7 linked regions of the Ovis aries genome follow. The protein of the gene in region 5 purifies or fractionates together with the protein of the main gene of each other region. This does not show direct contact. Links are inferred from orthologs where the notes say so. Each region holds a gene or a part of one and is shown on either strand. Other genes may lie near its edges.

What was found.
Region 1: the proteins of CHD3 (region 5) and MTA3 purify together in Homo sapiens (affinity purification with mass spectrometry; 4 studies listed by BioGRID and IntAct, with this or other methods). This does not show direct contact. The link is inferred for Ovis aries from reciprocal best matches to the Homo sapiens genes CHD3 and MTA3.
Region 2: the proteins of CHD3 (region 5) and BCL11B purify together in Homo sapiens (affinity purification with mass spectrometry; 3 studies listed by BioGRID and IntAct, with this or other methods). This does not show direct contact. The link is inferred for Ovis aries from reciprocal best matches to the Homo sapiens genes CHD3 and BCL11B.
Region 3: the proteins of CHD3 (region 5) and CDK2AP1 purify together in Homo sapiens (affinity purification with mass spectrometry; 6 studies listed by BioGRID and IntAct, with this or other methods). This does not show direct contact. The link is inferred for Ovis aries from reciprocal best matches to the Homo sapiens genes CHD3 and CDK2AP1.
Region 4: the proteins of CHD3 (region 5) and SIN3A purify together in Homo sapiens (affinity purification with western blotting; 3 studies listed by BioGRID, with this or other methods). This does not show direct contact. The link is inferred for Ovis aries from reciprocal best matches to the Homo sapiens genes CHD3 and SIN3A.
Region 6: the proteins of CHD3 (region 5) and BCL11A purify together in Homo sapiens (affinity purification with mass spectrometry; 3 studies listed by BioGRID). This does not show direct contact. The link is inferred for Ovis aries from reciprocal best matches to the Homo sapiens genes CHD3 and BCL11A.
Region 7: the proteins of CHD3 (region 5) and SMARCC2 fractionate together in Homo sapiens (co-fractionation; 3 studies listed by BioGRID, with this or other methods). This does not show direct contact. The link is inferred for Ovis aries from reciprocal best matches to the Homo sapiens genes CHD3 and SMARCC2.

The regions. Positions count from the first base shown.
Region 1 is NC_056056.1:81,421,682-81,425,181, reverse strand, and holds part of MTA3 (metastasis-associated protein MTA3), read left to right. Parts: intron 1-1,258; coding exon 1,259-1,383; intron 1,384-3,500. UniProt on the Homo sapiens protein: Acts as a component of the histone deacetylase NuRD complex which participates in the remodeling of chromatin.
Region 2 is NC_056071.1:61,946,267-61,950,437, forward strand, and holds the start of BCL11B (B-cell lymphoma/leukemia 11B), read right to left. Parts: upstream 2,801-4,171; 5' UTR 1,851-2,800; coding exon 1,793-1,850; intron 237-1,792; exon of another isoform or gene 1-236. UniProt on the Homo sapiens protein: Key regulator of both differentiation and survival of T-lymphocytes during thymocyte development in mammals.
Region 3 is NC_056070.1:52,346,653-52,350,785, forward strand, and holds the start of CDK2AP1 (cyclin-dependent kinase 2-associated protein 1), read left to right. Parts: upstream 1-1,333; 5' UTR 1,334-1,591; coding exon 1,592-1,646; intron 1,647-4,133. UniProt on the Homo sapiens protein: Inhibitor of cyclin-dependent kinase CDK2. Also acts as a component of the histone deacetylase NuRD complex which participates in the remodeling of chromatin.
Region 4 is NC_056071.1:31,101,754-31,105,253, reverse strand, and holds the end of SIN3A (paired amphipathic helix protein Sin3a), read right to left. Parts: intron 1,299-3,500; coding exon 1,068-1,298; 3' UTR 14-1,067; downstream 1-13. UniProt on the Homo sapiens protein: Acts as a transcriptional repressor. Corepressor for REST. Interacts with MXI1 to repress MYC responsive genes and antagonize MYC oncogenic activities. Also interacts with MXD1-MAX heterodimers to repress transcription by tethering SIN3A to DNA.
Region 5 is NC_056064.1:27,388,702-27,392,201, reverse strand, and holds part of CHD3 (chromodomain-helicase-DNA-binding protein 3), read right to left. Parts: intron 1,629-3,500; coding exon 1,516-1,628; intron 1,028-1,515; coding exon 857-1,027; intron 600-856; coding exon 475-599; intron 1-474.
Region 6 is NC_056056.1:63,535,423-63,538,922, reverse strand, and holds part of BCL11A (B-cell lymphoma/leukemia 11A), read right to left. Parts: intron 2,981-3,500; coding exon 2,879-2,980; intron 1-2,878. UniProt on the Homo sapiens protein: Transcription factor. Associated with the BAF SWI/SNF chromatin remodeling complex. Binds to the 5'-TGACCA-3' sequence motif in regulatory regions of target genes, including a distal promoter of the HBG1 hemoglobin subunit gamma-1 gene.
Region 7 is NC_056056.1:163,357,354-163,361,305, reverse strand, and holds the start of SMARCC2 (SWI/SNF complex subunit SMARCC2), read right to left. Parts: upstream 2,801-3,952; 5' UTR 2,776-2,800; coding exon 2,665-2,775; intron 1,868-2,664; exon of another isoform or gene 1,570-1,867; intron 659-1,569; coding exon 539-658; intron 1-538. UniProt on the Homo sapiens protein: Involved in transcriptional activation and repression of select genes by chromatin remodeling (alteration of DNA-nucleosome topology).

The sequences.
Region 1 (3,500 bases), on a different chromosome or scaffold from region 5:
GGCACAGATAAGAAGTATAAATAATAGCCCTGTTTATAGAATAGGGCTTTCAGTGCACACACAGGTTAGCTGGTTTCACTTAAGAGTTACAGTATCACTGGCAGAAAGAAATCTTAATTTGTCATCAGGTAAAGTTTACATATTAGGCTTTCACTGGTAAATGTAAGTGTGGGAATGAGAAAGAGCAAAAAGGAAACTCCTGAGTCTACTCTCTGCTGAAACTTCAAATGCCTTTCTTAATAGCTGTGAGCTCTCTTTACTTCACTGGCCATAGGAATATATGTAGTCCGCATGTAGTCATTCAGCATTCATTGCTAACAAATAAGTTGCTAACTTATTTTATTTTCTGCCCAGCATATAGACATGAAGACTCCTCTAGAATGAAAGTTGCTTGATGTCAGCACTTCTCTTTACTGGACCCTGAATAAATATATGTTAGGGGAATTGAGAGTGTACTTGAGGACACACTGTGTACACCTAGGTGGACAGTGTTCTTGGGCGTGACTGATCAGCAGGGCAGTTAGGCTGCCCCAGATGGGAAAAAGTAAACCATGTTGGCACAGTAAATACCAAAACAGTCCAGGCTACATGATTCTGAGGAATTATGACTTCTGGAAATCTGATAGATATTACCTTTTTCCTCTTAAAAAGAAATGCCTCGGATGCATTTAGTGGTTTTTCTAATTTCAAGTGCTCTGTAATCATCTTCATAAACATTCAAGCATAATAGAAATGATGAGCGGCCACAGTCTCTTGACGTGCTTTTACCTCTCACAGTAAGCCCAGCTGATGTCCGCAGTGTCACTGCTGACATGCAGCTTTTGTGCAGTTCCCTGAGAGCCAGTGTGGGGTCAGCAGCTGTCACTCCAGCAGCAGGAAGGGCAGTGGTTTTCCCTAAACACTGCACACTGCTTAATTTATTTAATCCAGAAATTATTTTGTCATGATAAGTAGTAAAATTTAATAACTTGCATCTTCCAAAATTTCAGACAGTATCCTAAGGAAATTGTGTCTGGGTGAGGAAGAGATATGACTCTACTTATTTTGTGAGTGTCATGCTTATGAGATTGGTTTTTACATAGCCTCGGTTTGTAAAGATAAATGGTTTGGGTTCATTTAAACACCTTAGTTTTATTTCTTCTTCATCAAACATTCAAATGTTTATGTGTGGTTAAGATAAAATCAGTAGTGAAATGCAGAGCCTTTTACCTTGTTACACAAGTCATTTTTATCACTTCACTTTATATTTCATTGAAAGCAGCAAACCAAATCCCAACCAAATATCCACCAGCAATGGCAAACCTGGTGCTGTGAATGGAGCTGTGGGAACCACGTTCCAGCCACAAAACCCTCTCCTCGGGCGAGCCTGTGAGAGCTGCTACGGTGAGTTTTCTCCAGCAGGGCTTATTCCCCACTCCAGCCCCTACTCCCCCAGGGACCATGCTGGCGGCATCCGTGGGAGGTGTGGGAGTCAGCCCTGCATGGAGAGCAGGATAAGGTAGCCTCAGAGTGAATAGATGCCCATCCTTCCGCTTGGACGCTCAATTTAGGTGTTAGCTTCCTTTGATTTGCTTCTGTGGTGTCCTGGGTTTGTTGAGTATTCCACAGCAGTGCGTGCTAAGCTACATTCAGAGCTGTTACTAGCTTTGTGTAAACCATGGTCTCACGAAATATACCAGTATACTTTTGGTGTTTCTCAGTATATTTTGACAAATTAAAGGCTCCACATAACTTTGTAGGAAGGACTTACTGCTAGAAACTGGTATTTATAGCCCTCAGACCAGTTCCCTTAGAGCACTGGCTTGGGAGATTCTGTTTATGATACTCTTGTGTTTATCAGTATTTATCCTTGTTAAAAGAACTACCTGATGCCGGTGCATTATATTTGCCTTGAATGTTAAATTGAGGTGGTGAGACGAACTGTTAAGTAGTCGATACTTTTTCTACTTTTTTTCTTTTTCTTTTGGCTGCACCTCTCTGCATGTGGAATCTTAGTTCCTTGACCAGGGGTTGAAGCCACGTCCTCTGCAGTGGTGATGCTGAGTCTTAACCACTGGACTGCCATGGAAGTCCCAGATACATTTTTTATATTTCTTTAAAACCTCAAACAGCAATATAGTCTCTTAAACGGGGCTATGGTGACACAATCATCCATATGGCCTTCCAGTCAGAGCAGCTTGGTGTGGAAGAAGGAAGGACACAATATTGACTAAAAATCATCCATATGTCCTTCCAGTCAGAGCAGCCTGGTGTGGAAGAGGGAAGGACACCAATGTTGACTAAAAACATCTACTTGGTGCCCAGTTTTTGACTTTCCTCCATGCCCCGTACCAGGCTCCAGCATTAGGAAAGGCTTTTAAAGCCAAATCATGTAATTATCTTTCCTACAACCAAGGAAGGTGTGAGCCAGACGGATTGCTGTCTTCATAGAAATAGCACATGCCTAACCATTTTCTGTACCACGAGAGCGCAAAGGGAAACACTTTGTGGAAAGTTAGATTCTTTTGGTCACAATTTTACATGGATTGCATAGCTGCTTTTGCATTGGGGGAAATCTTAGATTTTGAACTTCATTTATATTTAAATGAAAGTAGAAAGACTCCTAAAGAAATGCTAGTGGCTTAATGTGTCTTATACACCCCCTTTCATCTTATATGTAGTCTCACATATCCCTTTAAATAATTATTCCACCATTTTTATATGTGCATGACAAAAAAGCAGTTTTAATTTTATAATCTTTGAGGTCCATGTATTAAATTACTTATTATAATTATATTTCAATATAATATACACATCAAATTTATCTTTACAGAAAGAATTTGATGTTTTCTGTTTGTCAGTCTTTAATTGAATTTGAGTTAATTGTATAAAGAGAAAGACATTTGTTGACATATTAAAATGACATATCGTGAAAAAAATAAAAAAAAATAAAATGACATATCATGATTAATTTGGATAAAAATACTTTTTTAAATACAAGTGAAAATTTATATTCAGAATCCAAAATAAGTCCATGCCTAATATTTAGGATTCTTAAAATTTGTGTTTAAAACAACTCAGCTTGGCTTATTTGACTATTTGGTTTTAAATTACAAGAGGGAACATTTTTAAGTTACTATTTGCCAGGAGTCCCCCCAGAATAACACATGATGGGGTTCATAAGAAGTAGTATGGCTATAGTGATCACTATATCTTCCCTTTTGACAGTGTCTTGTGAAGTGTTAGTTGATAACCCTGATGTGCTGTTCGAACATGTTAACCTGAAGAGGGCAACGTTCCAGGTCAAGGGCAGAAGATTCAGTGTTTTCTGTCTTAAACTTCAGATCCATTGTGGGAATACTTAAATTGTTATATGGCAGTAATTTAAATTTCAGAGCAAAATAACACAGGTCTGTAGTGTTCAGCTCAGGAATAAATCAGCTGAGCTCTCAGGGGTTAAGCATGCCCCGTCTCTGCTGCACGTGCTCACTTGATAGGGACTTACAGTCTTGAAACGGATT
Region 2 (4,171 bases), on a different chromosome or scaffold from region 5:
TTTAAATGCAACCAGCAAGTCTTCTTTGATGTTACAATGGTGAAAAATATAAGAGAAGCCCTCTTCCCTCCCTCTAGAAAGGCGTCCCTCTCCCAAGGCAAGCCCACTTTCATATCTATTCCCCTCCCCAAAAAATAATCATAAATCCACAAATTCTTACTAATGTATGTGCTGTAACAAAGGAGAGATGGCAGCAGCGGAGGCTCCGAGCAGATGGCTCCTATGCTGGGTTTTCCGGGGAGGGGAGAACCCCTTTATATATTTATTTATTTATTTAAATTTTTTAAAATATAACATAAATATTCGGCTCTTGGCCGCCCCGCAGCCAGTCCTCGGCGACGGATGGGCGCACAGCCCTCTCCAGCTCCGCGCCGGCAGCCGGGCCCCAGCCTGACAAGGTGATCCGAGGATGGCAAGGAACACAACCTGCCCGCGGTTTCGATGGCACCCAGAGGATGTTTTATTTCTATTGCAATTTAAAAGAAAAATTTAAAAAAAAAAAAAAAAAAGCAACGGCGACTCTGGCACCGCGAGAGAAAGGACCGCGGGGAAAGGTTTGCGCGCGGCGGAGCAGCGGCCCCGCGGGCTGCGGCGGGCAGGGAGCGCGGCGAGCAGACCTTCCCGGTGCAAGTGTGCAGGCACCCGGGCGAGCTCCCCTGCCAACCCCGTACCTGGCCCGCTCCCGCACGCTTCTTCCCTTCGCTAAATAAACCCGACCGGGACGCTGGAAGCGGCTGCGTCTCTGCCCCCTTGACTGACTTTGCCTTCCCCGCCACTTGCTTGAAACCCACATGATTTCAGCCGGTGGATTTCCACTGCGACCTGCCTTGTTTATTTAGACAGGGGAAGATGAAAGATCTGAGATAGGCAGATGGGTAAGAGATGGATAGGTCTCTTTCCCTTTTTTTCCTCTTTTCTTTCTTTTATTTTTTTTTTTCCACTATTTTACAAGCACGTCCCTCTCTTCCCACTCCGAGCTGACAACCCTTTCCCCCCAGCCCCCTCGTGGAGGGGATTTTTCACCAGCCCCCGATGTCCCCCACCTTTTTTTTGGAGTGGGGGGGAAAGAAGACAAGAACATCCCAGGAGACAGACGGAGGTGGGGAAATGGGGGTGGGGGTGCAGGAGCCCAGCAAACAGCCGCGCAGCTGGATTCTTTTGCAAATAGCACGAGGAGGGGAGAGAAAGGCGGCAGCGGAATCCGAGGACCGGCGTGGCCGGCGCCCTGCCCGGCCGGGTGCCGCGACTGGGGGAACTCGGAGCCAGCGGCCACCCTTCGCCCTGCGTCTCCCCCAGGCCCGAGCGCACCCCGCTCCCCTCCGCCGGCGCCGTCAGCGCGGACCCACGCGCTCGCCAACTTTTCCCCACTTCCCGGCTCCCCCCTCCCCCTCCGCTCCCCCAACCCCCTCCCCCCTCCTCTCCAAACCCCGCCACCAGCGCCGCCGCCGCCACACACGCCGCTCGGAGGGGCGAGCGTCCAGCCGGGCTCCGCGCGCACACACACACACCTCCTCCAGCCTGCGCGCCCCCTCCCCGGCCCCGGAGCCCGCTCCGCAGGCCCCCAAGCCCCGGGCGCATCGGACTGCGCAGCGCCCGGATTCCCCGGGCTGCAAAGAAACTTTCCTAAGGCCCTCCCGCCCCCCAACCAGGCTCTGGGCCGACGCCGCTGCCCCTGTGCGAGCCCGCGGGCCGCCCGGGCACCCGGCCCGGCTGCGCCCGGCTCGGTGTCCCCAGCCCTGGGCGCCCGGAGCCCCACGCTCCGGCCCCTCGCGCGCACGCCGCAGACACTTACGGGTGATGATCTCCCTCTGGGACAAGTGCTGCGGGTTGCCCTGTTTGCGGCGGGACATTGCCCCGGCATCTATTCTGACATCGCCCGGAGAGCTGGACCGATGGGGGGAGCCGGGGGAGGGGGTCCGAGCCGCCGCCGCTGCCGCCGCGCCGCTGCCGCCGCCGCACCTCCTCCTCTGCCCGGGTTGGTGTTTTGGTTTTTTTTTTTTTTCCTTCCTCTCTTGCCCTCTCTTCCTCCTCTTCTTCTTCTTTATTTTGCGCTTTCTTCTATGCTGTTTTTTCTTTTATTTGCAAAAAGAAAAAGAAGGAAAAAGAAAAAGCAAAACCTCTCGATCTAAAATAGGAGAAAGGAAAAAAAATCTGCTGCTGCTTGCCGCGGACTGGCTTGCTTCTTCAAAAATATATTCTTTTCAAGGAAAAAAAAAAATTGCATACACTTCTTCAAACTGCTTGGCCTCCTGGACTTCCAAATGTCTCGAACTTAAACCGGATTTTGCACCGGCTCCTGACACTTTGAGGGTCTGGTAGGTGTAAAGCGCACTTCTACCAGGAAGGGGGGGGGGGAGGGGGGAAAATGCAAACAAATAAAAAATAAAAGAAGAAAAAGAAAAGAAAAAAAGCCAAGAAAACTTGAGGACTTGTCTCGTACCCCCTCACCCCGCCCCCTCAAAAAACCCAAAGCAATGTAAAACTGCCCCGGTTCGGTGGTTTCTGGGTTTTCTGCGGGCTGCCTGTTTTTTTCTCGGAGACTGACCCTTCCGAGGCTCTGGGGGGACTCCAGGAGCGGCTCCTTCCCAGTTCACCTGGCAGGCTGGCGCCGGCCGGAGAGGCTGCCGGGTCCCCGCGAGCGCTCCCCAGCGCTCCCCTGGAGCCGCTGGCCCGGGGGGAGCTGGGCTGCGGGGCGGCTCACCCAGTGCGCCTGGGTCGGTGCGGGCGCGGACTGGGAGCTATAGATTGCAACGTGAAGATGGCGGAGTCCGGGTTCTCTGGGAGCTCTCGGTCTCTCTATGGCTGGGGCTGCCTCTGTACAATGGGATAAAATTCAAGTTCAAGTGCGGACGTGACGTTTAATCTGCACTAGAGACAAAAAGACCCAGAGAGTCGGAGCACTGGGGGCGACTAGCGGTGGCTTTTTAACATTGTACCCTGTAAGAGAACAAGAAAGCACACACACACAGAGACACACTCGCGCGCGCGCGCGCACACACACACACACACACACACACTCGCCCGTGCGCACACCCGCAGTTCAGGCCGGCCACACGTGCGGCGTTTTTTTTGTGTGCGCTCGTCTCCTCCCGGTGCACTGGCAGCGCAAAATGGGGGGAGAGAGGGAGGGCCGTGGGCAAGATATTTTTAAATAAAAGAAAATCCTCTCCATCCCTCCTCCCCTCTAGGGAGCTGGACCCCCAGAGAAGGGGGGCGGAGTGCGGTGTGCGTGGAAGTAAGTTGAAGCAACGCAAGTCCCCACCCACTCACTGGAAAGCTCTTGGGGGGTGGGGGATGGCTATGAAAGAGTGTTGGGGTCGACACGAGGACTAGGACCACATGGTCAATTACTCCGTCTCCCTAGGAAAGTAGTTTGGTTGTTTTCACTTTTATTGAGGGGTCGGGGTTAAACTTCCAAAAAGTGTCTCCATATCAATCCTAATATTTCAAACTGGGAGAGCCAAGGGGAGAAGATAAAAGATACTAAGAGGAAAGAATTCGGGGCACATTGAGGGGCAGGGAAACGTGAGACCTTGTCTGAGTCCCATTCCGGAAGGCATGTCCACCCGAAATCTTTGCGCTCCCTGCACCTCATCCCATTCAGTCTTGGGGTCAAACACGGAGCCCACCCCTAACGCCAAGGTTTTTCGGAAGCATGGGGGTGAGGGGCACGGGTGCTTCACGTGGGAGAGTGTCTCATAGTTGCCGACCCAGAAGTAGGTGTGGCCGGATCTTTGGACACACTCGCGTGGGTGACCCCCCTCGGGTCCCCCAGTCCCTTCCCACCCCTTGACAATTATTGCAGCCTGGAAGTAACGCCCCCCACCCCCAGGGCTCCTCCGCCCAGGGCAGGACTTGAAATTGCCCGTCAGTCTGGAAAGGAAGGACACAGCTGCCTTGTCAGCCGTTTGATCTCCAGCCGGCGAGGCTGAGAGGAGGTGTGGGGGCCTGTCCGTGGCCCGGGGACAAGGCCAGGACGCGGGCCGCGTGGACATCTACAACCCCCCCTCCAACCTCCCAGTCCCTCCTCCAGCCGCGGCCAACTTCATCCGTTTCGCGACTTGACCTCCGGGCTGGACGCGCCACGCGGCCGGCCCCCTCGCCCTTCCCAGGGTTTCTCGGGTCTGGGGCAGGAGGCGGCCAGGGCGGGTCCGGGCCTGGCTCGGGGCTG
Region 3 (4,133 bases), on a different chromosome or scaffold from region 5:
ATAGTATCAGAAAAAGAATGTAAAGTATCTTAATAATTGCTTTATATTTATTATATATTGACTTAATACGTTATATATTTAAATCATGTTAAATAAAAAAGATTAATTTCATCAGTTTTTACTTTTTGAAATGTGATTATTTAAATTGTTAAAATATATATGTGGCTTGCAATACTTTTCTATTGGACAGTGCTACTCTAGAGTATTGGTCCCCTGAGAGCAGGGTAGGAAAAGGATGATATTAATTTACCCCCGAACTAACACTTCGCTGAACATCCTTGACGGAACCAGCCTAAAGCTGATCACAAGCGATCCTGGGAAGAGGGGTGTCGCTTGTACCTTCACTTCTAAAGGAAGGAGGGAGGGAATGGGTGTATCCTTTACCTCTGGGGCAATAAGAATTCTCACTAGATCCAGATGTATCTGAAAGTCTGTAGCTAATAAAAGATATTTGCAAAGCAGGGCGATTAAAAATGGCAGAAAAGGGCGGGCATCTTGTGTCTTTTGAGAAGATTTACTATTTAAGGAGAACTCCAAGAAATAATACCTTCAAAAGCTTCATCATCTGATGTAAAATAAATTTCATGATTGCAATTCAGTCAGATTTGAGAAGTGGGCTGTGGTGGGGTAGGAAGAGGGTCAAAAATTGCAATGTAATCTCCAGGAGAGAAGAAACTTGGTCAAGTTTATTCTTGTCTTAGCGCCTAGAACAGTGCTCGCCACACAGCAGGCGCTTTTTAAATATTTGAACGAGTTAAGATGCAAAATTAGGTGGATGAGACGGTGTGTTTTTCGCGGGAGGAGGCCTTTGGCTTTTGTCCAGTGTCAAAGGAGTCTAGGCCGCCAAGGGGTTAACAACCACTTAATACCGACAGGGACGTGAAATTTATTTGAAATCAATGTCAAGAATTGGTTGATCTTATTCTGGGGAGAAGGCAGACCTCGGCGTCTGGAATGATCTACGTGCTTAAAAATACCACTCGCCACCATTTTCTCCAGGTAATTTTCCATCCCTGCCCCCACAGTCAAGGAGGGGGGGGGGCGAAAAAGTAATTCCGCAATCCTACCTAGCTTTAGAGAAAAAAAAAAAAAAAGAAAAAATGAATCGGTACAGCAACAAATCTCCAGGCATCGCCAGCGCAGCAGAAGAAGGGGACCCAGGTGGGCCTCGGGCACTGCCGGGACCCCAGCCCCCCAAACTTTGCCAAGTTGCGGGCGCCGAGTGCGCCCGGAGGCGCGGGGCGCGGCCGCGGGCGGCACCGCCCCCTGACGCCCGGCCGCGGCGCGCCGGGCCGCCCCCTCCCGGCCCCGGCCGGCCCCGCTGGCTCCGCTCAAAGTTTGCGGCCGCCCCTGCGCCCGCGCGCCCGCCCGATGTATGGGTGATATACTGCAGCGGGTGTCAGGGTGAGGGACGGCCATATTTGCCGGTGCGGCCCGAGCCGTCAACAACAAAAAGTGCGCGGGAGCTCGGCGGGCGCACGGACGGGCGCACGGACGCCAGGACCGCCTCGCCGCCGCCGGGTCTCGCCGCCGCCGCCGCCCTCGCGGGCCGGGCCCCGCTGCGCCCCGGCGCGCCCCGCCGCTCGGGGGGATGTCTTACAAACCGAACTTGACCGCGCACATGCCTGCCGCCTCCCTCAACGCCGGTGAGTGAGTGCGCCTCGCGGGCTGCGCGCGCCGCGCCCCAAGTGCAGCCAAGTTGGGGGCTCGCGCGCCCGGCCCCGGCCCCGGCTCCCGGGAGCCCGCGGCGGCCGGGGTCGGCGGGCACCGGGTCCCGGCCCGGGGCAGCGCGGCCGCCGCCGCCATGATTCCGGCGCGCGCGCTGCCAAAGTTCGCGGGTGCGACCCGCGCCGCGCCGGGCCTCGGGTCGGGCCGGGGCTGGGGCCCGGGTCGCGGGCGGCCGCCGCGGTCCCCCCCACGCCGGCGGCCCCGGCTTGTGGGGAGCGCGGCGAGCGAGGGCGGGGGAGGCTTTCTCGGCTCCTTTTTCCTCCGGCTTTTGGGCGGCTCGGCGAGGGCCCCTGCCGGCGGGAATCGGGAGCGGCCCGGTCGCGCCGGGAGCGGGGCGCCGGGAGCGGGGCGCCGGGAGCGGGGCGCGGGTCCGCCCTTGGGGACCTGAGGGGCAGGCCCGGGCGGGGGGTCCGGGAGGCAGGGGTGCACGTGAGCAAGGCCGGGCCACGCGCAGGCGGCGCTGCGGGGCGGCGAGAGCGCCAGGTTGCAGCCGCTCCCGAGGGCGCGGGGCCGCTGGGGTCACCGGCGGTGCAGGGGAGGTGGTCTGTGGACGCCCGCCCGGCCTGGCGTGGGGGAGCAGGTGCCCAAAACGGGGCGCACGGGAGGTCCCCTCAGGCGTGCGCGAAGTGAGAGAAGTTGAAGAAGACCGGGGGCTTCGGAGTTGCCTGCAGGCGGAGGGCGGGGGAGGCATTGAGCCGGGGTCCCGGCTTGGAGCCCCCAAGTCTAGGTTTAGAGGGGCCTCCTCCAGGAGCAGTGCTCTCCGTGTGCTGGGGCTGAAGCTGGGCGGTCCCAGAAAACTCCTGCATAAGTTGTCCGGAAGCTTTAGGCTGAGTCTGGGGGTCTTGCCTCAGAGACCGGGGCGGGGGCGGGGTGTGTGTGTGGCAAGGGGGCACGCGGGATGTGTGTGGCTGGTGGTAAAATTTTGTGGGGTTCGTAGGTGACTGACTGCCCCCTCTCACCGAGGTTCTCCTTTAGACTCTTGGTGGGAAACTTCCAAAAAAGCGAGGTGCATGGGGGTAGGGGTGGAGGCAGGGGCTTGGCAGGAAGGAAATGGGCCTCCCTGGTCAGAAGTGCCACGCTGGCAGTTGGCCGAAAGTTTTGGGCCTTGTCTTCTAATGTTAACTCGATAACTCCAAAATCTGAAGGGCGCCCCAGAAAAGCACTAAGTGTATGTCCATGTACGTATATACCTATACGTAGGTGTATATATGTGTGTGTGTGTTTAACTTCTTGGACAGAGATTTGGGGATTGGAAAGGGTTAAGATTCAGGGTGTGGATGGCTGTGGGGGTAGATAGTTTAGTTGGTCAAGTGTGGGCTCTGTCTGAGCCCCAAGAGCAAACGGCCCCTATTTTCAGCTGAAATGTTCTCATCTCTCGGGTCTGCACACCTTAAGAGGCAGGCTTTGTGGCCAATGTTTCTCACTGCCTCCCTCATCTGACTCTGGGGTGGGATGGGTGGAGGGTCTTGCCGCCGGCCCAGGTGGGCAGGAAGTCTCAGGTTCCCCTGGTGCAGTTGAGGCAGGGACCCTGAACCTGGCCCTTTGGGGACTGGGGTCCCAGAGGGAGCAAGCCACCCGCTTAGGCACCCTGAAGCCCTGCTCTGGGCTGGCTAGCACCTGTGCCCAGATTGTCTTCCTTCTCCTGTGGTGAACTCCAGGAGGAGCGCTGAGGTCTCCAGATCTCTGGTGTTCGGGTGAGGGGCCACCTGCCCCCTGCCCTGAGCGTGGACCCCTTTAGAAAGCCCGCATCTCCCTGAGCCATTTGCATCCAAGATGGACTCTCCACTGCCGCTCCTCCGGCTTCCTTGTCATCATCCCTCACGCCCTCCAGCCCTGCCTCCTGCTCGCGAGTTGCCAAGCCGCGGCCTGGCCGGCGGTGGCAGTGGCGGAGTTAGACAAAGCCCCCGCCTCCCCGCCAGAGAGCCCCCCCAGGCGCCCCAAGTGGCGGGAAGGCCGCCAGCTCCCCAGGCCCGGGCCGCTCTTTGTCTGGCGTGGGGGCGGGGAGCCGCGCCTGGCCCCAGGAGCTGCTGGCCTTTGCCAATCCCTCCCTCGGCTCAGGGCCCTCCCTGGTCCCCGCACACTGCGCGCATTGTCTGCGATGCTCTGAGACGACCGTGCTCACGCCCTGTCTGGTTTTCTCCTTGGCCTTGGGCAGCTGGACCGCCGGCCCTCCCTGTGTCTGCAGGAAGCTGTGGGCATGAGTGGAACTTGGGGTCCCTGCGCCAACTCTTCCCAGGGCCACAGGCACCCCCCTCTGAACACTGAGCAAAGGACTGGCTCAGAGTCGGGTCGACTACCACATCACCCAGGTGACAGGCAAATCAAGCTCTGGGCTCTTGCCTGACTTCTCCACACTGCTTCCACGCCTGCAACCCATTCCTTCTCCCTCTCTCAGGAACTAACCC
Region 4 (3,500 bases), on a different chromosome or scaffold from region 5:
TGTTGAGAGTTCATTCCTTAAGTAAGAACCAAGCTTTATTTATTTACAAAAAAAAAAAAAAAAAAAAAAAGTTGGGGCAAGAAGGAAGACAAGTTTTACACAAAAGTACTACAACGGTAACTCCCTTTGGTAAAAAGTGTAATAAATGTCTTGTACATCTGTTCATAGGTACTAAATCTGAAGCCACATAGAACTATGGTACACAAGAAGCTAGAGCAGTTATGCTAGCACATCAAAGCATATTTCTTTTAATAAAAAATTGACAGTATGTACATTATTTACAAAAAAAAAAAGAAAAACCAAGTTAAAATTGTGTTTGTGTGTGTGTGTGTGAGTAAAGCTGGTGGATGGCACTAGGGTAGACTAGTAAAGAAGCAGGTACAAAACAGTTCCACGGGAGCTAAAAAGGACGACTGATTTGAACTTGTTGAGGCTGAGAACCAGAGGAGAGAAAAAAGGGTGGGCAGCAAGGTATTCATCAGGAATCAAATCCACAAGATGATCAATCCCAAAGCCAAACTGCAGGTCCCAGAGAAAACCTAATGGGTGATCTAGATGTGCTCAAGTGACCAGGAAGAAAAATCCAATCCAGTTTTTTTTTTCCTTTTTGAGGGGAAGAGGAAAGGAGCAGTGACCATCAGAGCTACAATCCATCTAAGCGCTGGCTCCTCCTCAAGTCTGTCGTCGATGCTCGCCCAGCTCGTCCAGGTGTGAACAGCATCCGGTTCCCTCACTGAAAGTCGCCCCAGGAGGCTCCAGTCTCCACTCTGCTGGTGTGTGCAAGCTGCGTGTCCCTGTGCTTGCGTGGGTTTCCTCCCCTCCAGGGCAGGCTAATACCCAAAACCCCTGGGAAAAGTTCCAACTCCGGCTTTGTAAGGGGTCACACGTTCCTTATACGTAGCCCACTTGGTGCCAGGTTGCACCAGCCACGCACAGATCAGGTGGCCATGTCCCAGAGAGGCCCAGTGAGGCTTGAAAGGCATCTTCCTTGTTTCTTCAGTGTGTGCGAGTACACGCGCCCCCCACACACACCACCCCCCCTCCAGTTATCTGCTCTGGCTTTGCAGTTACGGGGTTTTGAACACTGTGCCGTATTTGACACGGTACTTGTTAATGCTCACAAAGTGCAGGGTCTCTGTGTCGCAGGTGGTGGTGCAGGGCACCAGGCCCTCCAGCCCCTCACCCATAAGCCACTTGCTGGTCTCCGCTGCCATTTCACGGGGCACATGCTCCTTGGTCCATTTATCTACCCAGGCCTGGAACCTCTGATGTAGCCGCTTGCTTACACGCTCATGGGACTGCAAAACAGAACAAAGAAGAAACCATCCATGAACTAGGACTGAAAAACCCTTCGAATACAAAATCCAATTTTGTTCTAAAGTAGCTGAGGAAAGATGTGGGCTCAAGCTGCAGATCATAAAGCCCCCAGAGAAATGCCAACCCAAGGTCTGGTCAGAACTAGCTCAGTGCTTTTCGATTTTGGTCTGCAGCATCACCACGTGGTGGCATGTTGGGGAAGGAGGAGGTCTTGGGAAAAATGTGTACAGAGTTCCTTGTTTCCATCAATCTGTATTTTTAAACCAGCAACCCAGACGATTCTAATGTACCCTGAGGGAGACAATGAGGCTGTTGGTCACTTCTGTCACAGCGCAAGGCAAAGGGTTTAAAACCCACCATCCCTTCCTGCTATTATCCCATTCTGTCCATCAGATTGTTGGGCACAGCAGATCTTCAGTGGAGGTTTTTGTTCCTACCTCCAACATACTTGTTGGTGCCCATAAGCAAGAAGGGAAGGTGATACAAAGATGAATGAGGTGTTTCCCAGCTCCCTACATCATTTGAATCAGACATGCAGACATATAACACACAGCACCGAGAGAGAAGTACATTAAATTGCCCAATCTGTGCTTCCCACTTGAATGTTCTGTAGTCCTTTGATCTGCCTCCCAAACCTGGTAATAACCCTTTCCTGTTAACAGACATACCCCTAAGCTTCCCAGTTACTCAAGCAAAATAAGCAAAGAAATAAAATCAAAAAACAAAAACCACCAGGTAGCATCCTTAACGCTCTCCATTCTCTTAAACCTCTCCACATCCAATCATTAGCACATCCTGACGATTGTATCTCCAATCCTTTTTTGGCATACAGCATGGCATATTGGATCCCTGACCAGGGATCAAACCCATGCCTCTTGCATTGGAAGCTCCAGCGTCTTAACCACTGGACCATCAGGGAAGTCCCTCCAATCTAATTAAAATTCCTCTATAATCCTGGTAGTCTGGGCAGTCATCTCTCATACGGATGAGAGCAGTCTTTTGAGTGGTCTCTGCCCATCCAACTTGGTGCGTTCGCTCACTCCCATCAATCTATATCTTTATCAACAAAGTCTCAATGTATCTCAAAACCCAAACCATAACCTGTAAAAATAAATAATGTGGCCTCTGCCCACCTTTCCAACTTCATGCATCCCACTTCCCCTATGGCTCAAAACACAATGATGTTTTACTTATTGTTTAAAGGCCCTGCCATGTGGCATTTGGGACTCCAGTTCCCTGACCAGAGACTGAACTTGCACCCCCTGCACTGGAAGAGTGGAGCCTCAATTACTAGGTCCCAAGCAAGTCCCCCGCAACTGATGTTAGGTTTTTGAACACGTGAAGTCCTTTCCTCCCTCCCAGCCTTGCACCTGCTTGTTTCCTTTGCCTAAAAAGTACCAACCCAACTCTGCACCAGGCTGGATCCTCACCATTGTACAGGCCTCAGGGGTCACCTCCTTAGGTCTTCCCAACAAAAGCAGGGCTGTGTGTGCCAGTCACCCTCGATCACCTCGTTTCTTTCCTTGGAAATGCACATCATCACACTGCCTTACATGCTCTATCTCAGGGCTGTAGTCTTAGGGCCTGGCACAATACCTGGTACGTAACAGCACTAGGACTTTCACATGTGAACACAGACAGGATTCACACAAGCAACACTACCGGAGATGTGAATGCTGGGAGTAGCTTCACTAGAAGGTGCCACCAGCTATTACTAAGCTGTCCCCCTACAAATTCACAAGCAGAAATCCTAACTTCCACCCCTCAGAATGTGACCTTATTTGGAAATAAGGTTGTTGCAGATACAATTAGTTAAGATGAGCTCATACTGTCGGAGGGTGGACCCATAATCCAGTATGGCTGGCGTTCTTTAAAAAGGGGGAAATTTGGACAGACTCACACTTAGGGAGAATACCATGCAAAAACGAAGGCAGAAATATGCAAGCCCTGCAATGCTGGTGATTGCTGGAAACCCACCAGAGGCTAGGAAAGGCAAGAAACAGATTTCCCCTCACAGTCCTCAGAAGTTTCAAAGCAACCCTGCCAACACTTCGACTTGGGACTTCCAGCCTCTACAAGTGTCAAGATAGTAAGTTTTTGTTGTTAAGTCACGCAGTCTTTGGTGCTTTCTTACAGCATCCTGGTATACTGGCTGAGGGAGACGTGTGGAGAAATTCCAAATA
Region 5 (3,500 bases):
CTGCTAAAGTGCCTGCTTCCCCCAAAGGCATCTCTATTGTTCTCTCCTCTACTTTAGAAGCTATTGACTTGCAGGTGCCACTCTCAGCCTGCACTACTACTGCTGTCTAAGGGAAGGGCAGAAGACTCGATAACCGAGCAAAGGAAACTGGGAAACACTGATGCCACCTCTCCACTCCAGTCTGATGAAAAGTCAGGCAGGGTAAACTGGAACTGTTAAGAGCAGAGAGGGCCATCGGTCACCAGAGTTTTCTAACCTAGCCGTGGAACTCTGATCCCCAGTGAAAAGTTCCTGACTAGAGTGCTTGGATCCTGGAATCCAGGAATTCTCTGATATTACATGGGAGTTAGGTGTGTCTGTGCTGTGAATTTCTCTGGACAGCCATTTTTTAGCTTTCATCAGATTCCAGAGAGGTCCAGGGCCTCCCTCAAATTAAAAGCATCGGCTAGTGAGGGTTCCCCAGCCCTACCGTACCTCATGAATTGGCTGAAGGCTTTGTAGTTGGTGAGTGTGTGGTAATCTTCCTCGGAGAACACATGTTCCACGTCCTCCAGGCCCCAGGTCAGAAGTAGGGTTGCTGATGACTTCTGTTCCACTTGCTAGGATACCAGGCTTCTGTTAGCCAGGTGCTCTCCTAACTCCAGTCCTGGGCTCCCCCCACCCCCTGACATGCCTCCCTGCCCACTCACCAGCTTCTCTGGGCTTCCAGTTTTCTGTTCCATTCCCAGCCCAATCCCACTCCTCATAAACCACAGCCTCTCCATTTGTCACCCTGCTTGCCCAGGGCTCTCCCTCCCCTACTCTTCAGGCTTGTCATTGATACAGATTTCTTCCCTCACTCCCCAAATCTACTCACCTTTTGCCCCCCCTCTCCCTCCCCTTTTTTCCGCCGCTTTGTCTTCTTCTCCTTTTTTTCTCGGTGCTTCCGTCTCCGTTTCCGACCTGGTCCGGTTCCATATTCACTGCCTCCACTCTCTGACTTCTCCCGGTACTCATCTCGCTCAGAGCCAAATTCCTCCTCGCTGTCCTAAGGAAGAGAAATAAAAACACTATTTTTTGAGCCCTAGCGTGTGCCAGGAACTCCTCTTAGCACAAAATATCATCGTCTCTTTTAAACTTCACAACAATCCTATGAGACAGCAACTAATCTATTTTTATCCATTTTTTTTTTTTTGTAGAGGAAACTGAGGCACGGAGAGCTAAGTAAGCTGCCCAAGAAGATAGAGGACTGCTGGGCTGTGAATTCATGCAGTCTACCTGCAGTGCTTCCAACAGCTTCTCTGTGTTGCAGGGCAAGTAAAGTCGACAAAAGGGCTCTTCACTAGGATGTAGTGAGTAAGGTTAGGGTCCCAGACCTGGGAGATACAGGCTAGCAGGAGTGGGGCTAGGGGCAGGCAGAGGGAGTCAGGTCTCCCTGACTTCAGGGTCCCCATGGCAATCAGGCCCAGAGAAATCATAGGTCTCTGGGATGGGTCTCCAAGCCTCACTGTAGAGACAGGCATGCGTAACACTTACAAGCTTCTTGCGTTTCCGGGGCTTTCCTGGCTTGTTCTCCTTCTGTTTCTTAGGTCCTCGCTTCCTCTTCTTCACGCCCAATGTTGAAGGCAGCAGTCGAATGTCATCCTTATCTTTGGAGCAGACAGCACCGGAAAACCTAAGCCTCTAGGCTCCCAGCCTCTGCAGCCCTTTTCCTCCCTCACCTCCTTGGTTCCTGCTCTCTAGGAAATCCAGCATTAACTCTTCCAAACCTTGCCTCCCTTTGCTGGACGCAAACAGAGAGTGTTTCGAGTACTCTGGGATGCCTGGGTTGTGAATGGGAGGTCAGGGGTCAGAAGAGGAGAGCAGCCAAACCACTCCTGTCTCTCCCCTCCTACTAACAAGGGACCAGGCTCTAGGCCATGGGCTCTGACTGTGGCAGGTCCTTTTAGTCGCCGCCAGGGCTCCTCCTGCCTTCCCCCTCACTTAGCCAGCTGGCATCCTGCCCAGGAACTGGGGAAGCCATGCCCAGCTGCTGGCCTGGCCTGACCCCAGCACTTGGAGTGGGGAGACACAAGCTGGCAGCTCCCTAAGCCAGATGCTGAGAAGGCAGAGCCAAAGGTGGACACCTGGGCTCTCACACTAACACCCTGGGGCCCTGACATCCTTTCTGTGAGGAGTGAGGCCTCTATTTACACTTCCTCAGATAATCACCCAGACTCCTGTCACCCCAGCATAGCCCTGGAGGAAAAGAAACCCTCAGTCAGCCATGTTCACTTCTGGCCCACAGGATCTTGGTGTCTGGCTCCTTTGTCACTCCCTAGCCCCACAGGAGAAGGTCTCCACAATTACCTATACATTCTTCCTCCTCCTCCCAAGCAGCCTCAATTGTGCCTTCAAATCTACATCCACATCCCTGTTCCCTTTGAGAACTCAGGCGCCCTACCCGTTGTCCCTGGTCTCACCCCTTGCCTCCAAATGTAGTCTCAAGCATTCTAACCCATTCATATCTAAGCAGTATGGGAGACCCACACAAAGACACTGGACAGGCATAGACACACCCCTCAAATGCATTCTCAAATGCACAAGCATCACATACTCATGAGCACAAACCCAGAGGACAATTTGTACATGCTTTTAGCAGGGCTAGGTCCCTGGCTTTCTCTCCAGATGTCCCTGTCAGACAATCTGGGGCTGGTTCTTCCCAGATGTCCCCCTCTCCCCATTCTCCATGACCCCTGCCACACTGTGGAGGCTTAGGGTTCAGAGAATAACTACTTCAGGAGGAAGACACAGCCGATGCCACACAGAAGTGAGGCCCCGGTGTGAGGCCTCCCTCCCCCAGCAAGCACTAGACTAACCAGCCAGACCTGTCCTGCTCAGGTAGAGGCAGCAGCGCTGGAGGGAAAAGCCTGGGCCGGCCCAGCCCCTTGCTCTAGGACACACAATCCTTCTCCCCACAACAGCCAAGGGAAAATTAGCCACAATTTACACCGGAGGCCTCGGGTTTCCAGCGCCTCAGAATCGCGGCGCCTCCTTCCTTCAGTGCTACTTCTCACAGCTCCGGCATCCTGTGCCCTCTCGCGCGGGACGGCACTCTAAAATTGGGGGGCTGTGGCGCGGGGGGGGGGGGGGGGGGGAAGTGCCTGCAGGCAGCCCGGGGTGTGAAAACAGAGTGGGTACCGTAATAGGAAGTCAGTAAGACGCCGTGCCCCGCAGCCAGCGCTCTCTCACCCCAGGGACTCCGCTAATACGAACATGGAAACGGAGGCTGCCGGGGCAGTAGCAAGGGCAGGCCAACTGGCTGAGGATCAGGGAAATGGCCTCGGTCTCCGCCAGCTGGGGGTGGGGTGGTGGGGGGACACCAGCCCTGGGACCTCGCAGCCAGTTAACTCCACTCTCCACCCCAGCGGGAGGTTCCCCAACTTGGGAAGACGGCGGTAGTGCGGGGACGCAAAGTAGACGGCTAGGAAAGGAGAGGGAGGGCAGGAAAGCAAATCTAAGTCCCAACCTCTGCCTCACCA
Region 6 (3,500 bases), on a different chromosome or scaffold from region 5:
ATCATGAGGGCAGCTAGTGTAATCGTAATGTCAATGAGAAGGGCTGTTACGATTGAGACTAAAGATTACATGGAAAGAGCTGCTTTGAAACTAGTAATTATTACCAGTCCACTAATAGCGAATGATGCATCACAGTCTCACCATATAATCTGTATTTCACTCGGCTCATGCCAGTGCACCATATTATATTACAGTGCTCACAGACTCTAAATTCCTAAACTGCAGTCATCAATAAATGTGTTACTTGCCATAATTTGTGAAATTACTTTGTTCATAACATCTTTGATGGTTTAGAAAGACCAGAATTGATTTCCTGCGTGGCAAAATTAGGGCTACATTGATTTATTGATGTGTAAAATATAATAATATTCTTCATTTACTCTGATGAAAATCAACTTCTCAATTTGAGAGCCTCATTGGGCATTCAGGGGGATTGTTTTGATTAGAGCAATAAACGGAGATCTGGCCTCGAGCAGAGAACTCTGAGGCATCAAAACGGTTAAAATCAGCTATTAGCTCACCTACAGCTTTTACTTTATTTCATTTTATTGTATAGGAAGGAATGACCCCATTTCCAGTTTGTCACCAATGCTCAGGAGTTATAATTTAGAAGAGCAAATTCTGATGAGGGACTCTGGCTCTACTACTTACTGGCTGGTGGCTCTAGGACAATCATTTAATTTCTTCAGGTCTTAGGTTTCCTATCTGTAGTGTTAGTCGCTCAGTCGTGTCTGACTCTATGACTAAGGACTGTAGCCCGCCAGGCTCCTCTGTCAATGGGATTTCCCAGGCAAGAATACTGGAGTGGGTTGGCATTCCCTTCTCCAGGGGATCTTCCCAACCCAGGGATGGAACCTGGGTCTCCTGCATTACAGGCAGATTCCTTTACCCTCTGATCACCAGGGAAGCCCCTATCTGTAAAATGAGTGTAAAAACAGTACCTTAAAGAATTGTGAGGCTCGAATGACAAATGTATATAAAAGCTCTCTGTAAACTATCATGTCCAACATGAATGTGAGTCTTCTTTATTCCTAGGCTTGACTAGTTACCTAACATGATGACTAACCGCACATTACACATCCACAAGGGCTTTTGAAGAAAAGACTGGAATCCAGGATCTGGGCCTTCTCAGGCCAAGGGGAGACCCTGGTTAGAGGAAAGCAAGAGTGGGTGATTTTAAGGCCCTGGACCATGGTCCACACAGCCAGGAGGCCACAGCCTAAGTGCTAAATGCTCTGAGAGCCTAGGGCAGAAGGTTAAGGAAGCCAGTGGGGTGCGGATCAGTTCTGCCCAAGGACTTTGTAGATCCCTACGACCCACTCCCACATACCTCATTCTGGTCACTCCTAAACTGGCCCTGCCAGTATGGGCCCCATCAAACTAGAAGATTCCTAGTTTCCCATCCCCTCAGATCAAACTCCCTGCCCTCAGGAGGATGAACCCGGAGAGAAGGTGCCTGTTTCCCAGGCAGCAGCCTTTGGGCCCCCACTCCACCCTCCCCTCTATGCCCCACTCTCTTCTCCTCCCTTCCCTCCAAAGGCTCTGTTCCCACAGCCAAGGACAGGCCCCAGGGAGGCACCCCCAGCAAAACGAGGAGAGCTCTCCCCACCCAGTCAGCACGTAGGCACTTGATGCCTCGAGTCCAACCCCCTGAGCTCTCTGCAATCAGTGACCTAACCCAGGCTTCAGCCCAGCTAGGTTGGGGCAGGTGGAGGGGGCGGGGGCGGCGGGGAAGAGGTGCTTTTAACCCCTGCACCACCCAGCCCTCAGGACCTCAGGGCTTGTGAAATTTCATACAATAACTCTTTGTTAGCTAGAATTACCTAGGAGTTAATAAAAATAAACAACCAGCTTCCAGCTTGATCTCGGGCTGTAGGCCCTGCCCTGCAGACACCATTCATAAGAAGACTGGGTCTAGTTGACCGCCCATCTGAAAACCAGCCACCTTGAAGGCCCAACTCCTGGCTCTTGATTTTTTTCATTTACTTTCAAAATAAAAATGGTTTCCTTAAATAAAAATTAGACGTCACATTTCTTTTCTTCTTGAGCCTACTTTTTTGTGTTTGGGATCGAATCAAGCACCAGGCCCTCACCCCCTCCCCATCAGACTTTTTAGCCATGCGTGACTCATACTATGTATTCCAACAGACAGAATCAAACTGTATTACCTTTTAAAACAACATCTTTCAGAAACATTTTTATAAACATACAAATCTAAATTTCATAAGAAGGTCCCCACCATAAAAGTTGGCTTGAACCAATAACTGGACAGTGATAGTGATGGTGGGGGTGGGGAGTGGTATCTTTGAATTTTAGCAACAATGCTGTGCATTTTTCTCTGAATCTAGGAGAAAAACAAGTAGAAATTATATATGTAGTGTACCATGCATATATAAAAATATACCATGTTTAAAACACATGCATATATAATATGCATGAGGATACCTCTACAGTAACACTGAACTGAGTCCTTTCTGGTTCTGGTCTCTGCTAAAGACACATGTCATGGAGTAAATTCAAAGTCCTCTAAATGAGACCATGAGGGTGAATGCCCAGCGATAAAATGGGCCCTGAACAGACCTATGCAGTCACCAGTCATGGAGCCACACAAGACCCTGGGGAGGAGACCAACAGGGAGGAGCTGCTGTCAGCCTCATGCCCTCAGTAAGGAGAAAAAGAAAGGGGGTAAGGAAAAAAGTCCCTGGGGCTGAATGACCTGGGGGAGCCAGGTGCCCAGTGAGTAATGGGATACACATATGCAGATGCCAAGGTATTTTGGAAGTAACTCCTTTCAGTACTTAAAACATAAGGGTAATTTCCAACAACTCTCATCTCTACACACATGGACATTTGTAGAAGAAAATAATGCTCAACTTACAAATACCCTGCGGGGCATATTCTGCACTCATCCCAGGCGTGGGGATTAGAGCTCCGTGTGCAGAACGAGGGGAGGAGAGGCCCCTCCAGTGCAGAAGTTTATCTGTGAAAGAAACCCAAAATCAAGCATGAAAGCTATAAACAATGTGCATTGTAGACCACAGGATATCACATTTCAGTTCCATTAAAATAGATTAACATCATTACAACAGCCTTGCAGATAGTGAACAGGCCCAAGGCCTGTATCAAATGAACAGTGGTGACTTCTTTCCCATAGTTCTGTTTTTAATTTTGGTTTATTTTTGACAAAAGAGAAGGGAGTTGATGTTTTAGGTATGAGGTAGGAGGGGGAGTGTTCTTTGGTTCGTTAGTCTGACTATTGTCTTATAATAAGAGATGTGTGAACAGCAAAAGGAAATTGCTAGTATGATTGGCAGGCTGGTAACGTGGCAAGGTTATCTGCAAGGCTGGTTTACACGCATACATTTACTTTACTTATAGACAAGCTCAAGCAAAAAAACAATATGCTAACAGAAAATGAGTGGATTTGTGACTCTTTACTTCTGGAATAGAGTTCCACTCTGCCTTCCCTGTCCTATACTTCCCCTGCTGTATTTAGCACC
Region 7 (3,952 bases), on a different chromosome or scaffold from region 5:
TGCTGAACTGATCTCCCTCTCAAAGCTGGAATTCTTTAACCCCTGTGCCATTCTATCTTGTAGCCTAGAAGAGGGGAGAGAAAGAAACCAATATCTACAAAGCCCCACCATGTCCCTTGCTGGATTCCCTTTACTGGGTTTCCTCGTTAATCATTACAGGTAATACCTACAACATAGGTATATTAATCCCATCGAGAGATAAAGGAACCAAGACTCAAAAGGCATAAATGACTTGTCCAAGATGACAGAGACACCAAGTGGTAGAGCAAGGATTTGAACACAAGAGTGTGCAAATCCAAATCTCACGTTCTCACCATGCCATGAGTTTCATGACTGAGTTTCAATACTCGAGATAACCTGTTGCATGAACTATTACTAGGACAAAGGGGATGGTAAACTGGGGGCTCTGCCAAGCCAGTAACACCCCAACCAGGGAAAGGGATGGTAGGAAGTCACCCAAACCTCAAAAACTAGAAGATTTACAAAAACACAAGAGACAACTCCTTCTTGGATTTGCCCCCTTGCTTTTTGCACTTACCGGCAGTTTAGTGAGCGGTGCATTGCTGACATGTTTGCCAAAAACTTCTTCCTGAAATTGTAGCAACTGTACAACCAGGCTAGACAGGGACTTGTTGGTGGGTGGTTCGGCTTGTATATACTGGGGAAATAGGGAAAAGGAGAGAAAAACAGACCCCAAATCAATTTTCCACCATCTCCCTTCTTTCTTTCCCAGAAGCTCTGGAAGCATCTGGAATACAAATAGTGTCTTCTTCCCCCACATGCCTAATCTCTTAGAAAGAAAACGGCAGAAGGAAGGCCTGAGGTGCCCCTCACCAAGAAGATGACATTCAGCTTCCTACTGCCAGTCTTGGGTGCTGGCAATATAGGCAGCTTCCTACTCTCCCTCAACTACACCCTAAAAATGGAGCTGCAGGATCCAGATCTTTAGCCAATGGCACCTAGAGTTGTAAAATTATGAAGATTCATAGGGATCAGGCCACAGAAGCAACATCTGGAATGCTCTAAGGGAGACAGCAGTCTACTTCTTTGAGTAATGGTGTGGAAGGTCAAGATTCCCCCTATAATATAGCCTGATAAGAAAGGTGCAAAGAAGCAATATAGGGCACATGTCTTCACATGCCCTCCTAGAAGGGAAAAAAGACAGCTACTGCCCAGCCAGGTGGAAATAGCAAGCCAGTATCTACCCTTCTTGAGGAGACTGTACTGGACACAGGCAAGCCTGGGGCTTCTTAAATATTTCCATATTATGCGACCTAGCACCCTAGCCTTCAGTTCTCGTGTAAAACTGTGCAAAGAAGCTAACTTTATCTTTTGATCCCCTTTTCCTCAACCCCGACCATAGAAAAAAGCGCACCTTTTGGTGGGAGGTGTAAAGAGATCCTTGAAAGAAAAGGTAAATGACAGAGCTAAGAGCTTGACAGCTGAACTAGGTCACAGGCTGTCAATTCCCCCAGGGCCAGACACTAAGCCCCTAGACTGATCTCCTGTCCAAAAGGTCAAAGGTAGAAGCCTGGGAGCCAGAGCCTCAGGCTGGTGTAGAGAGGAGCCACAGACCCAGCAGCTGTTGGTCAAGCTCTGACACCCAGACAGACCTCTGAGAACAGAGCCAGACTCATAACCAGGATCAGAGGGGCGTTCTCCACCAGCCCATCACACTTCTGACAGGTTGCAGAGCTGAGCAGGAAGAACTGGGGAGCTGAAGGAAAGTCTGAGAACCTCTTATTGGGGGCAGTGAGAAGGAAGAGACCCAGACCCTCTCCAGAGAAAAGCCCTATGCAGAGATGTTCCTTTCAACCAGGCCTAAAGACAAAGACATCACCAGGAAGAGGTCTGGTATAAACGACAGGTAAGGCTTGAACCCTTTGTTCATTACCTTATTATCTCCTGTTACGGGATGGGGGACTCCAGACACAAACTGCATCCTAGTCTCTGAACCCCAAACCCAAGGCAATGCAAGGCCAGGTGGTGGGGTGATTTCATTGTGAAGTTGAGCAATGGTTTTAAAAGGGGTAGCTGCCCAGGAACTCCTATACCCTGACTCCCAAAGAGGTTCTGTTACCCCTTGTACGGAGATGGGGGCGGGCGGTAGACAGGTGATCCCGGGGTGGGGGCCTTTTTCAGGCTGGTGAGCAGTCGAGGGCCTGCTCTGGGGCTGTTTATCCTCTGGCTTTCATCATCTTTCTCTGAACATACACAAAGCACCGGCGAGGCCTCAGCCCTGCTGGTACCTGGCTCCGTGGGGAGCTCTGGCGGGCACCGTGGCGGGCACGCTCGGGTCGGGGGGGGTGGGCATTCGGCACCCATCCACCCCCGACCGTCCCTCCCGGAAAAGCCCGGAAGGCGATGGCTTACGGAGGGTGGGCAGCTGGCACCGGGACCCGCCGGACGAGTGGAGAAAAACAAGGGGCAGAGGGCGCAGCAGTGGGGGCGGGGGCTGGAACCAGAGGCGGGGGTGGGGGGGGTTGTTAAAAGAGGCTGGGGGAGGGGCGCGGGGCGGCGGAGGGCGCGCTGGGGCCGCTCCGGGCGCCGCGGGGGAGGGGCCGCGGGCCGCGGGAGGGTGGGCAGGAGCTGGGGGTGGGGGGAGCCGCGGGGCCTCGGTCCCTTTGTCCCGCCCCCGGCCCCCGCGCGGCCCTGCCCGCGTACCTTCTTGTAGTTCTTGCCGAGCCACAGCCGCACGTTGTCGAACTGGGTCACGGTGTCCGCGGCCTCGTAGTACTTCACGTTGGGGCCGCCGTCCTTCTTCCGCACCGCCATCTTCTCGGGCTCGGGCTCGGGCCCCGCCGCCGCCCGCCCCGCTCAGCTCAGCTCCCGCCTCCTCCGCCTCCTCCTCCGCCCGCCTCCCGCCGCCTCCCGCCGCCGCGGCCGCCGCCTCCCGCCGCCTAGGCCGGCCCCGGCCCGCGCAGCGCCCCCTGCCGGTCGGCCGGACGCGGTGGCGGCGGAGCGCCTGGCGCGGGGCGGACCCTGGCGGCCTCCCTGGCGGCGGCGGCGGCCGCGGCCGGAGCTCTGGGGAGGAAGCTGCTTCCTGGAGGGGGCGCACACTCCCCAGAGATCGCCATTTGCTGACCTGAAGTCTTTTCTTGCCTCTCAGCCGGTGGAGTGGGGTACCTCTCTATCCTACCCCAGGGGGATGCCGGTCGCCTGAGGAGCCCCCAGCCCAGACCTCAGTGGTCCTCACCTTGCACATTTCTTAACCCCACAAAGCCCCTAATCCCGAGGAGCCCTGGACCCGTTTCCGCAAGAAGTTTCTTCCTGTCATCCATCCCCAGGAGTGCCCCGTTTAAACTCCTGAGCCTCCCTCGCCCCTAACGCCTTGTCCCAGGTCTCACTCCGCAACCCGAGGAGTCCCCTAGCCGCCACCCCGGGGACCCAGCCCCTCCTCTCCAACTGCTTTCCTCTGCAGGCCTCGCCAATGCCTCCTAAACAGCTTTGCGCTCCTTGAGACCCTCATCTTCGTAGGGCGGGAGACCCTTCCTCTTTGGGTCACCCGATCCACCCGACTCTCTTCCTTTGAGCGGCGTGAAGGCAGAGGTAAGGAGCGGAATGTGAGGAGGTCACAGGCTGTGTGTTTGGGCTTGGCCCAGCTTCCCGTTGCCACCACTCGCTCCGGGTCGTTGTACAGACCCTTTCTGTAAGTGCTCGGTGACAGGCGGTCTTGGAAGTCACGGTGGCCGAGTGGTTAAGGCGTTGGACTCGAAATCCAATGGGGTTTCCCCGCACAGGTTCGAATCCTGTTCGTGACGGCCGCTTTTTTTCAGGGTGTGTGTGAAGGAAACTTCTTGACTTCCACGTGTGTTTCGTGCCTTTCCCTTTCTGTATCGGAAACAGAAGCCAAAAGGTCTCACCCCTGGATCTGGGGGAAGAAGGGGGCTGAGGGTGACAAGAAGCGTTTAATGATGTACAACTGTATTGTCTGCTAGGATAACAAAGCACT